Linked DNA regions of Mus musculus. The protein of the gene in region 1 purifies or fractionates together with the protein of each later gene. This does not show direct contact. Links are inferred from orthologs where the notes say so. Each region holds a gene or a part of one and is shown on either strand. Other genes may lie near its edges.

Region 1 (3,814 bases):
CCATCTGCTGTGCACATTGGCAGTCACAGTTACCAACAGGCTCTGTATTGATGCCCATTTATGGTGTAAACTTGAAGTTTTCTAAATCTGCCAGAATTTTAAATTGTGCTTCTAATGCCACCAGTGCTTTGTATTTTAAAGCATTTTAATCTTGAAGTGGTAATATACCTCTCTCTTTTTTTTTTTTTTTTTCGTTTTTTAATTCTTTAATTGCCATAAGGTCACTTCTTTCCAAAGTCAACAAATGGAATACTCTTCATCTTTTCCCCAGTTAAGTGTTCATCTAGAAGGCTTATGTGGACGTACACAGGTGTCATTGCTCTGTCTGTACTTTGATGTGTCTTTTTAGGATTCCTCCAGCCTGGTAGCACTTACCCCTTATAAGCAGTGACAGACATTGCACAGATAGATGTCACTAAATCCTATGAGTAAGTTTGGTGGCACACAGGGTAGTCTGATCTCTCTCTGCCTTGGCTCTGGAGAAAGGGCCATGCATTTATCTTGGCATCCTGAACTCCCTCAATTGTCCGTTTTATAGTGGGTCCCACACAGTCACTAGGTTCTTGTTCACCCTGCAGCTGGCTAAGGCTCAGCAGCCTCCTGCCTAGGTTATTTGGCTGGTCTCATCTTGTTTTCTTTTGAGACTATACAGCTTCACACTTCTCATGGGCAAAGATGGAGGCCTACTATGGACTAAGTTTCTTTGATATGCTTGTTGCTACTTCACTTAGATTTAAAAACAAGCCAAGACTCACTTATCACGAAGCTTGGATTTTGTTTAATAATCCATAGTTCTGAGAATCCAGTAACTTTGCTGACATTCAAAATTTTTCACTTTGCTTTCAATCTGTCATCTTCGTGATAAGGGCAGCAGCACCTGTCCTCTGTGCCCGTTCTGCAGGGCTGTCTGCAGCAGGTGCTCCACTGGGGGACAGTCTCCAGCCATTCGTCTTGTTAGTCTTTGCTTTCTTACGGTTGGAAGGAAGGAAGGAAGGAAGGAAGGAAGGAAGGAAGGAAGGAAGGAAGGAAGGAAGGAAGATCTCCTTCTCTTGGGTACGTCTATGGTAGCAACTGAGGAAGGCAGATGCTCAGAGGAAGGCTAGCCCATTAGCACGGGCACAGCTGCTGTCACAGGGACACAGCCTAGAGCCACACAACTCCAATCTGCCTCTGATTTTCAAGGACTAGACAGCTCAGTAGTGGCCATAAGTCTACCAGCTCTTACTGTGTCCTAAAAGCAGTGAGGTGTTTCGGACTGGTCCACAGCTGGACATTTGGAGGTCTCTCCCTTCCTCGGTATCATCATATCCTCGGTCAATCCCAGTATTGTCTGATGAATTTTTCAATGACAAGAACTTCCTTCCTTGGGGAAGAGGTGCTAGAACACCTCTACACACCTTAGTCATGTCCCTAAGGGGCTGGGGCACCACCGCTTCATATCTGAATCATCTCCCTGGGGATTACTGTAGGCTCTGTGGGTTGTGTGGAACTTGGACAGACCTATTGGGAAAGGAACCGAAGATGAACTAAGATCAGTCAGGGCTCTACTAGAGACTGAAGCTGGAAAGCTAGAAATTCAGTCTTGGGAGAACAGTCTTGCAGAGGACTTGGCAGTCAGTGGGTGCCTCCCTTGGACACAAACTGGCCTGCAGTCCTCTGGCCAGTCGGCCTAACAGGCAAGTCCACAAGCCCCGAGGAAGCAGGATGTCTGTGCCTGCAGGCAGTCTGTTCTAGGAGAAAGCATGCGATGCCTTGTGATCTCCTTTAATCTCTCTATTTTCTGTTTGTAGAAAGTCCATGAGATGCTGAAGAAGGGGTGGGATGCTGAAGGCTCTCCCTTCCGAGGCCAGCGATTCGACCCAGCCATGTTCAACATCTCCCCAGGGGCTGTGCAGTTTTAATGACCGGAAGTAAAGGAAACCCTCGCCATTGGGGAGATGGAGACGTTGTCCTCCTCACTCCCTGCATGCCAGGGACTCACTTCTCCTGATCAGTCCTAGCCATTTTTTTCTTTCATGATGAACCAGGCCTTCCATGCTGACCTTCTACCTTCAGACTATTCTAGAGAAGGTACAGGGCCAGCTGCTGCTTGGCAGTGTCTGTGGCCAACACTGAATGCAGGTGTTTGACATGCAGGAGGGACATGTCCCAGCCTACTGGTAGCACATGTTCTGTCTCCACAGCAACCAGGCACTGCAGGCAGCATTTCCTTTCTCCCCGTTCTCTCTGCTTGCTGTTGTTTTGACGCTATTCTGCTTGCTTGTCTTCTGATTGGGGATAAGGAGTGGCTGGGCTCAGACAAAGCTAAGTTGTTGTGTGGAGCCAGGCACCTGCATGAGGGCCAGCGGGGCATGGCTGTGGGGCTGCTATGGGGTTCCCTCACTTGTTGTTGATCTGTGTCTATCTCTGTGTGTGTGTGTGTGTGTGTGTGTGCCATCTTGCTCATTTCTTTGTGAATACACTTGACTTGCCTCAGTTTTATGGGCAGAGCAGCAGGAACTGGGTCTGTTTGAGATGGTAGGAGAAAGTCTGAGGTTCTGGCCTCTCACCCAGGTGTGGTAAGGATTCTGTCTGCCCTCTGACTGCAGCTGCCTTGCTTTGATTCTTGTTGAAATGAGCTGAGACTAGCCACCACTACTTTTTCCCCTCAAGACCTCCTCTTTGGGGGTGCTGCATTCAAGCCTGGGTACCTCCAAGAAGAGATCACAGCCTGTTGGTAGTTCATTGGCAGATCCGTGTCAACTACACTCCCTAAGGAGCTTTGACCCTGAAGCATGCCTCAGGAAGGAAAACGTATGCACTAGCTTGAAGGCAACTACAATTGAGTCCAAGAAAATGAAGATTTCTCTGTGCCAATCACTAGACTGCTTTTTGGAGCTCAGAGCCTGTGTGGCGACGCCAGCTAAGGGTGTGAAGACCTGCCCAGAGGACCAGGACCCTGGTGTCCCATCCCTTTACGTACTCTCTCTGTGCTGGTTGGTGCCTGGCATCTCCATTTGCCTGGTTCTTAGTTGTGTGGTGTGTGTGTGTGTGTGTTCACGTCACAGCACTAATTTCTATACTCTGGTAACCAACCATACAAAGTGCAAGAATTAAGACCCATTGAAGCCAAGGCAGACTGTTCTCTGGAAAGAGCCCTGCACCACCGAGTGCTATGTCCACTTGCTTGGAAGGAGCCATTGGAAGAGCAAATTTTGGAACTTACACAATTGTGTAGAAAGGAGCTGGTTCATTGTAGGCATTTAAGGGATTTCTGGTTTACTTCCTAAAAGTCCATACTGGGAGTTAATCTGTGGGCCTGAGTAGACCATGATGGTGGTCAAGGGACAGCAGTGGACCCCATATACCCACTCCAGAGTCTGAACATGTGATTGGACATTGGTCATCAAGTTGATGAAATCTCCCTCAAGAGGTCACCGTCCAGGAGCAGAATCTGTCGTAGTCACAAGATCCCCAGGACACTTTGCTGTTTGTTCCTGAAGTTTTCATCAAGGTCTAGGCTGCGCACATCCCTGTCCCATGGAAGCTGTCTCACCTAAAGAAGGAAGTCTCGTGGTGTGTGTGCACCTGCAGTCTTCTCCCTCTCGGCCCTCATCCTGTGGGTAGTCTTGCAGAAGGAATGATGTCGTGGCGGAACCCTGCATCCTTTTATTTAAGACAATGCTTTTCTCTGTGTTGACTCATCTTCATTACTGTAGCATGGTTTTATTTTCTGTGTTGCATTTTTTTCTTTGTCCCTGCCGTGTTTCAACAAACAAGCCTGTATAGAAAAAGCAGCCTGGGGGATATAGCACTGGTTGTAGGCCGTGGGGCA
Region 2 (4,414 bases), on another chromosome or scaffold:
ACATGCAGACAAAACACCAATGAACATAAAAATAAATGTAAAATAAACCATTGAAATATGAGGAGCATGTGTCCCTAATAACCATAAATGTTCATGCCTGGTTTCTCATTAACCTTGCTAGCTTAGTAGGGAAAGGACCGATGTCTTGAAGTTTGCTCTGGCACCTTCTCAGGAAGTGATCTTGTTCTTTCTTTCCCTACAGGTAGAAATTAATCTCTCGGAAGTGCCTCTTCACAGCCAGGTGACATGTCAGAGCCACTCAGGAAAGGCTTACCCCAACTCCTGAACCAAGCAGCCTCCCAGAACTTAGCTCCTGGGAAGAACTTCTCAAGACCATTCTCATTTCAACAAAGCTCTGGTATAACAGGGCACCTGGGGGGGGGGGGGGGAAGGAACGACGACCACAGGTTGTTCTACTAGTTTGGGGAAAAGAATGTTGTTCTACTAGTTTCCCGGGATTGCTGCAATTGGCCGGAAACCACCGGGAGAAGAAGGAAGGAGAAATAAAGGAAGATTAATCACCTATAGTTAAGTAAATTACATACATTTTTTTGGGGTCATCAACAGGTTGTAAGTAAGCTCTCTATATACCAATTTTGGAAAATCTTGAACTGGAAAAAAAAAATCCAGTAGGATACATGCCATTTAGAAAAGAGCCAGGAAGTGGAGCATAAGAATGTAAGTATATTCTTAGTCTGCATACAAGTAAACGCTAGAAGGATTTGGAACTTCGAGAACAGAGAACTACGGCAAATTATATACTTATTCTCAAATCAAAGTTAAAATTTGCCAGTAGCTAGAGAACTGCATGTTAATAAAAAATACTTATAAAAGCAAAGTTCAACACAAGGGAAACGCAAAGGGTAACTATTTTGGAAACATTGACTTGAATATTCTACCAAATATTATCATTATCCAAATCAGGATAACGTTTTGTGTTCAAATCATCTGCGCTTATTACAGAGTCCATAAGATAATGGAGGACATTTGTACACTGATGAAAACAGTGGACAAAGTAAACTATAACATGCTCAACTACTGGAAAACTGTAGCCAGTTAAAAATAGTGTTTGGAAAACAAAACCCTGAAAACCGTATTTATGAAGGCATTATCTCTCCTGCCAAATATTAAAAAAATGTATCATTAGGACCAAAATTTAGTGGCAAGTTAAATCTCATGTGTCTTAAATGTTAAACAAACAAACAAAAAACCTTTTACAATCAACATTTTTAATTGAGTGTGACGCAAACTGTAAAACTGTTCTTGAAGAAAATAAATAAATAAAACGATACAATGATTTCTTCTGCCAGGCTTCTTGTGTTTGAACAAAGGTTGCCTTTCGTTGCTGCTCTGGCAAAGACCTTAAGCGTAAATCTTGAAAAGAACGCGCTCTTGAAAAGCAAGCTTAAGCACACGCACGCGCATTCCTACAAGCTTACATAATGGACCCTGCACCGGCCTCGCTGGCCGGCCGGAACCCCGCCCCCAGTCCCGCCCGCGCCCTGCCCCCATCCACCGCCCCCTTGCCAGCTCAGCCGCGCAAGCGCACTAGCTGTGCAGCCGCTCCTAGCCCGGGGGATCCTGGGATTCTGCCTTTCCGGAAGGTCGGGCTGGCTCTCGGTGCTAGGCCGCCGTTCTAGGCCCAAGTCGGGATTCCAGGCCCTGCTCCAAGCCAAGTCCGTAGCCGCGACGACACAGCGGGGATCGCAGAGGACGCGGCCGCAGCTCGTTGGGGTGGCTGAGCCTTGGAGGGCGGCAGCCGGGGTGCGCAGGCCGTGACGGCCCCTCCCCCGCCCTGAGCGCAGCGGCGAAGGACGACAGCCCGGGACCGGAGGAGGTGAAGCGGTCACGTAACTGCCCCGGGTGATGACTCACCCGCTCTCCTGGCAGATTTGAGGTGCGTGCTGCTGTTGCTGCAGGGCGGACGTCGGTGTGCCCAGAGCGGTGCTGCGGCGACCGCTTGCTTGCCCTTGGTTCGGCGGCCCCGGGGTTTCCCGAGAGCGTTCTCTTTGTAACGTCTGCGGCCTGCAGCTCGCAGCGAGCTCCGGCTTCTCCCATGAAGGTGTCTCTGGGTAACGGCGACATGGGCGTCTCTGCCCACCTGCAGCCTTGCAAGTCTGGAACTACGCGGTTTTTTACCAGCAACACGCACAGTTCGGTTGTATTGCAAGGCTTTGATCAGCTCAGAATAGAGGGCCTACTTTGTGACGTGACGCTGGTACCTGGCGATGGAGAGGAAATCTTCCCGGTTCATAGAGCCATGATGGCGTCTGCCAGTGATTATTTCAAGGCCATGTTCACTGGAGGAATGAAAGAGAAAGATTTGATGTGCATCAAGCTTCATGGGGTGAACAAAGTTGGTCTGAAGAAAATCATTGATTTTATTTATACTGCAAAACTGTCTCTTAATATGGACAATCTTCAGGACACTCTTGAAGCTGCCAGCTTTCTACAGATCTTGCCGGTTTTGGATTTTTGTAAAGTATTTCTTATATCAGGCGTCTCTTTGGATAACTGTGTGGAGGTTGGCCGGATTGCTAACACCTACAATCTTATAGAAGTGGATAAATACGTAAATAATTTCATCCTGAAGAACTTTCCTGCCTTGTTGAATACTGGGGAGTTTCTGAAACTCCCCTTTGAACGGCTTGCCTTTGTGCTTTCCAGCAATAGTCTCAAGCACTGTTCGGAACTTGAGCTCTTCAAGGCAGCCTGCCGCTGGCTGAGGCTGGAAGACCCTCGGATGGACTATGCCGCAAAATTAATGAAGAATATTCGCTTTCCACTGATGACACCACAGGATCTCATCAACTATGTGCAGACAGTAGATTTCATGAGAACAGACAATACCTGTGTGAATTTACTTTTGGAAGCAAGCAATTACCAAATGATGCCGTATATGCAGCCGGTGATGCAGTCGGACAGAACTGCCATTCGATCTGATTCTACTCATTTGGTTACCTTAGGAGGAGTTTTGAGACAACAGCTAGTTGTCAGTAAAGAGTTACGAATGTACGACGAAAGGGCGCAGGAGTGGAAGTCGTTAGCGCCCATGGATGCTCCTCGATACCAGCATGGCATTGCTGTTATTGGAAATTTCCTTTATGTAGTTGGTGGCCAGAGTAATTATGATACAAAAGGAAAAACGGCTGTTGATACAGTTTTCAGATTTGATCCTCGTTATAATAAGTGGATGCAGGTGGCATCATTAAACGAAAAGCGCACATTCTTTCACCTGAGTGCCCTCAAAGGACATTTATATGCAGTTGGTGGGCGCAGTGCAGCTGGTGAACTGGCCACAGTAGAATGTTACAACCCAAGAATGAATGAATGGAGCTACGTTGCAAAGATGAGTGAACCCCACTATGGCCATGCTGGAACAGTATATGGGGGTTTAATGTATATTTCCGGAGGAATCACTCATGACACTTTCCAAAATGAGCTCATGTGTTTTGACCCAGATACAGACAAATGGACACAGAAGGCTCCTATGACTACAGTCCGAGGTCTGCATTGCATGTGTACAGTTGGAGACAAGCTGTATGTCATCGGTGGCAACCACTTCAGAGGAACAAGTGATTATGATGATGTCCTAAGCTGCGAATACTATTCGCCAACTCTTGACCAGTGGACACCAATTGCTGCTATGCTGAGAGGTCAGAGTGATGTTGGAGTTGCAGTCTTTGAAAACAAAATCTATGTTGTTGGTGGATATTCTTGGAATAACCGGTGCATGGTAGAAATTGTCCAGAAATATGACCCAGAAAAAGACGAGTGGCATAAAGTTTTTGATCTTCCTGAGTCGCTGGGTGGCATTCGGGCTTGCACTCTCACAGTTTTTCCACCTGAAGAAAACCCTGGGTCACCTTCTAGAGAATCACCTCTTTCAGCACCTTCAGATCATTCTTAGATCCAAGGTGTAATACCTTTTCAGTGTATCATGGGTGGTCTTGTTCATCCCCTTGTATTGTTTCTCCTTATTGCTACAGTTAATAGACAAAAAGGTAACTTAGACCCTTTTTTTTTTTTGGTTTGGCTTGATATTGTTTAGTAAATGGCTATACAAGTGCATTTTGAAAAGTATTAAATATATTCAGCTGTTTTAACAAGTAAAAAAGATACATAGAAAATTAGATTTTTTTTTGTGGTGTTACATGTGTCAAATTATAGATGATCTTAGTAAATGTGTAATTATGTCTGTTATACTAAAAATTAAAACATTTGATTTGACTGAAACATTAAATGGAGGTCCCCTGTTCTAACCTAATATAAAGATTGCCAAGGTACAGCTACCTCCCTCTTGGATAGTTTTGGACAATCTGTTGTCTAGGCTGTGTGATTAGTCTTAGAATATTTGAAGTTTCCTAGGTAGACAGAAATAGTAACAATATTAACTAGAAGAAACAGGTCAGGA

Evidence for each region.
Region 2: the proteins of Nudcd3 (region 1) and Klhl9 purify together in Homo sapiens (co-immunoprecipitation; 3 studies listed by BioGRID and IntAct, with this or other methods). This does not show direct contact. The link is inferred for Mus musculus from reciprocal best matches to the Homo sapiens genes NUDCD3 and KLHL9.

What each region holds. Positions count from the first base shown.
Region 1 is NC_000077.6:6,106,332-6,110,145, reverse strand, and holds part of Nudcd3 (nudC domain-containing protein 3), read left to right. Parts: intron 1-1,790; coding exon 1,791-1,901; 3' UTR 1,902-3,814.
Region 2 is NC_000070.6:88,719,645-88,724,058, reverse strand, and holds the start of Klhl9 (kelch-like protein 9), read left to right. Parts: upstream 1-1,550; 5' UTR 1,551-2,056; coding exon 2,057-3,910; 3' UTR 3,911-4,414.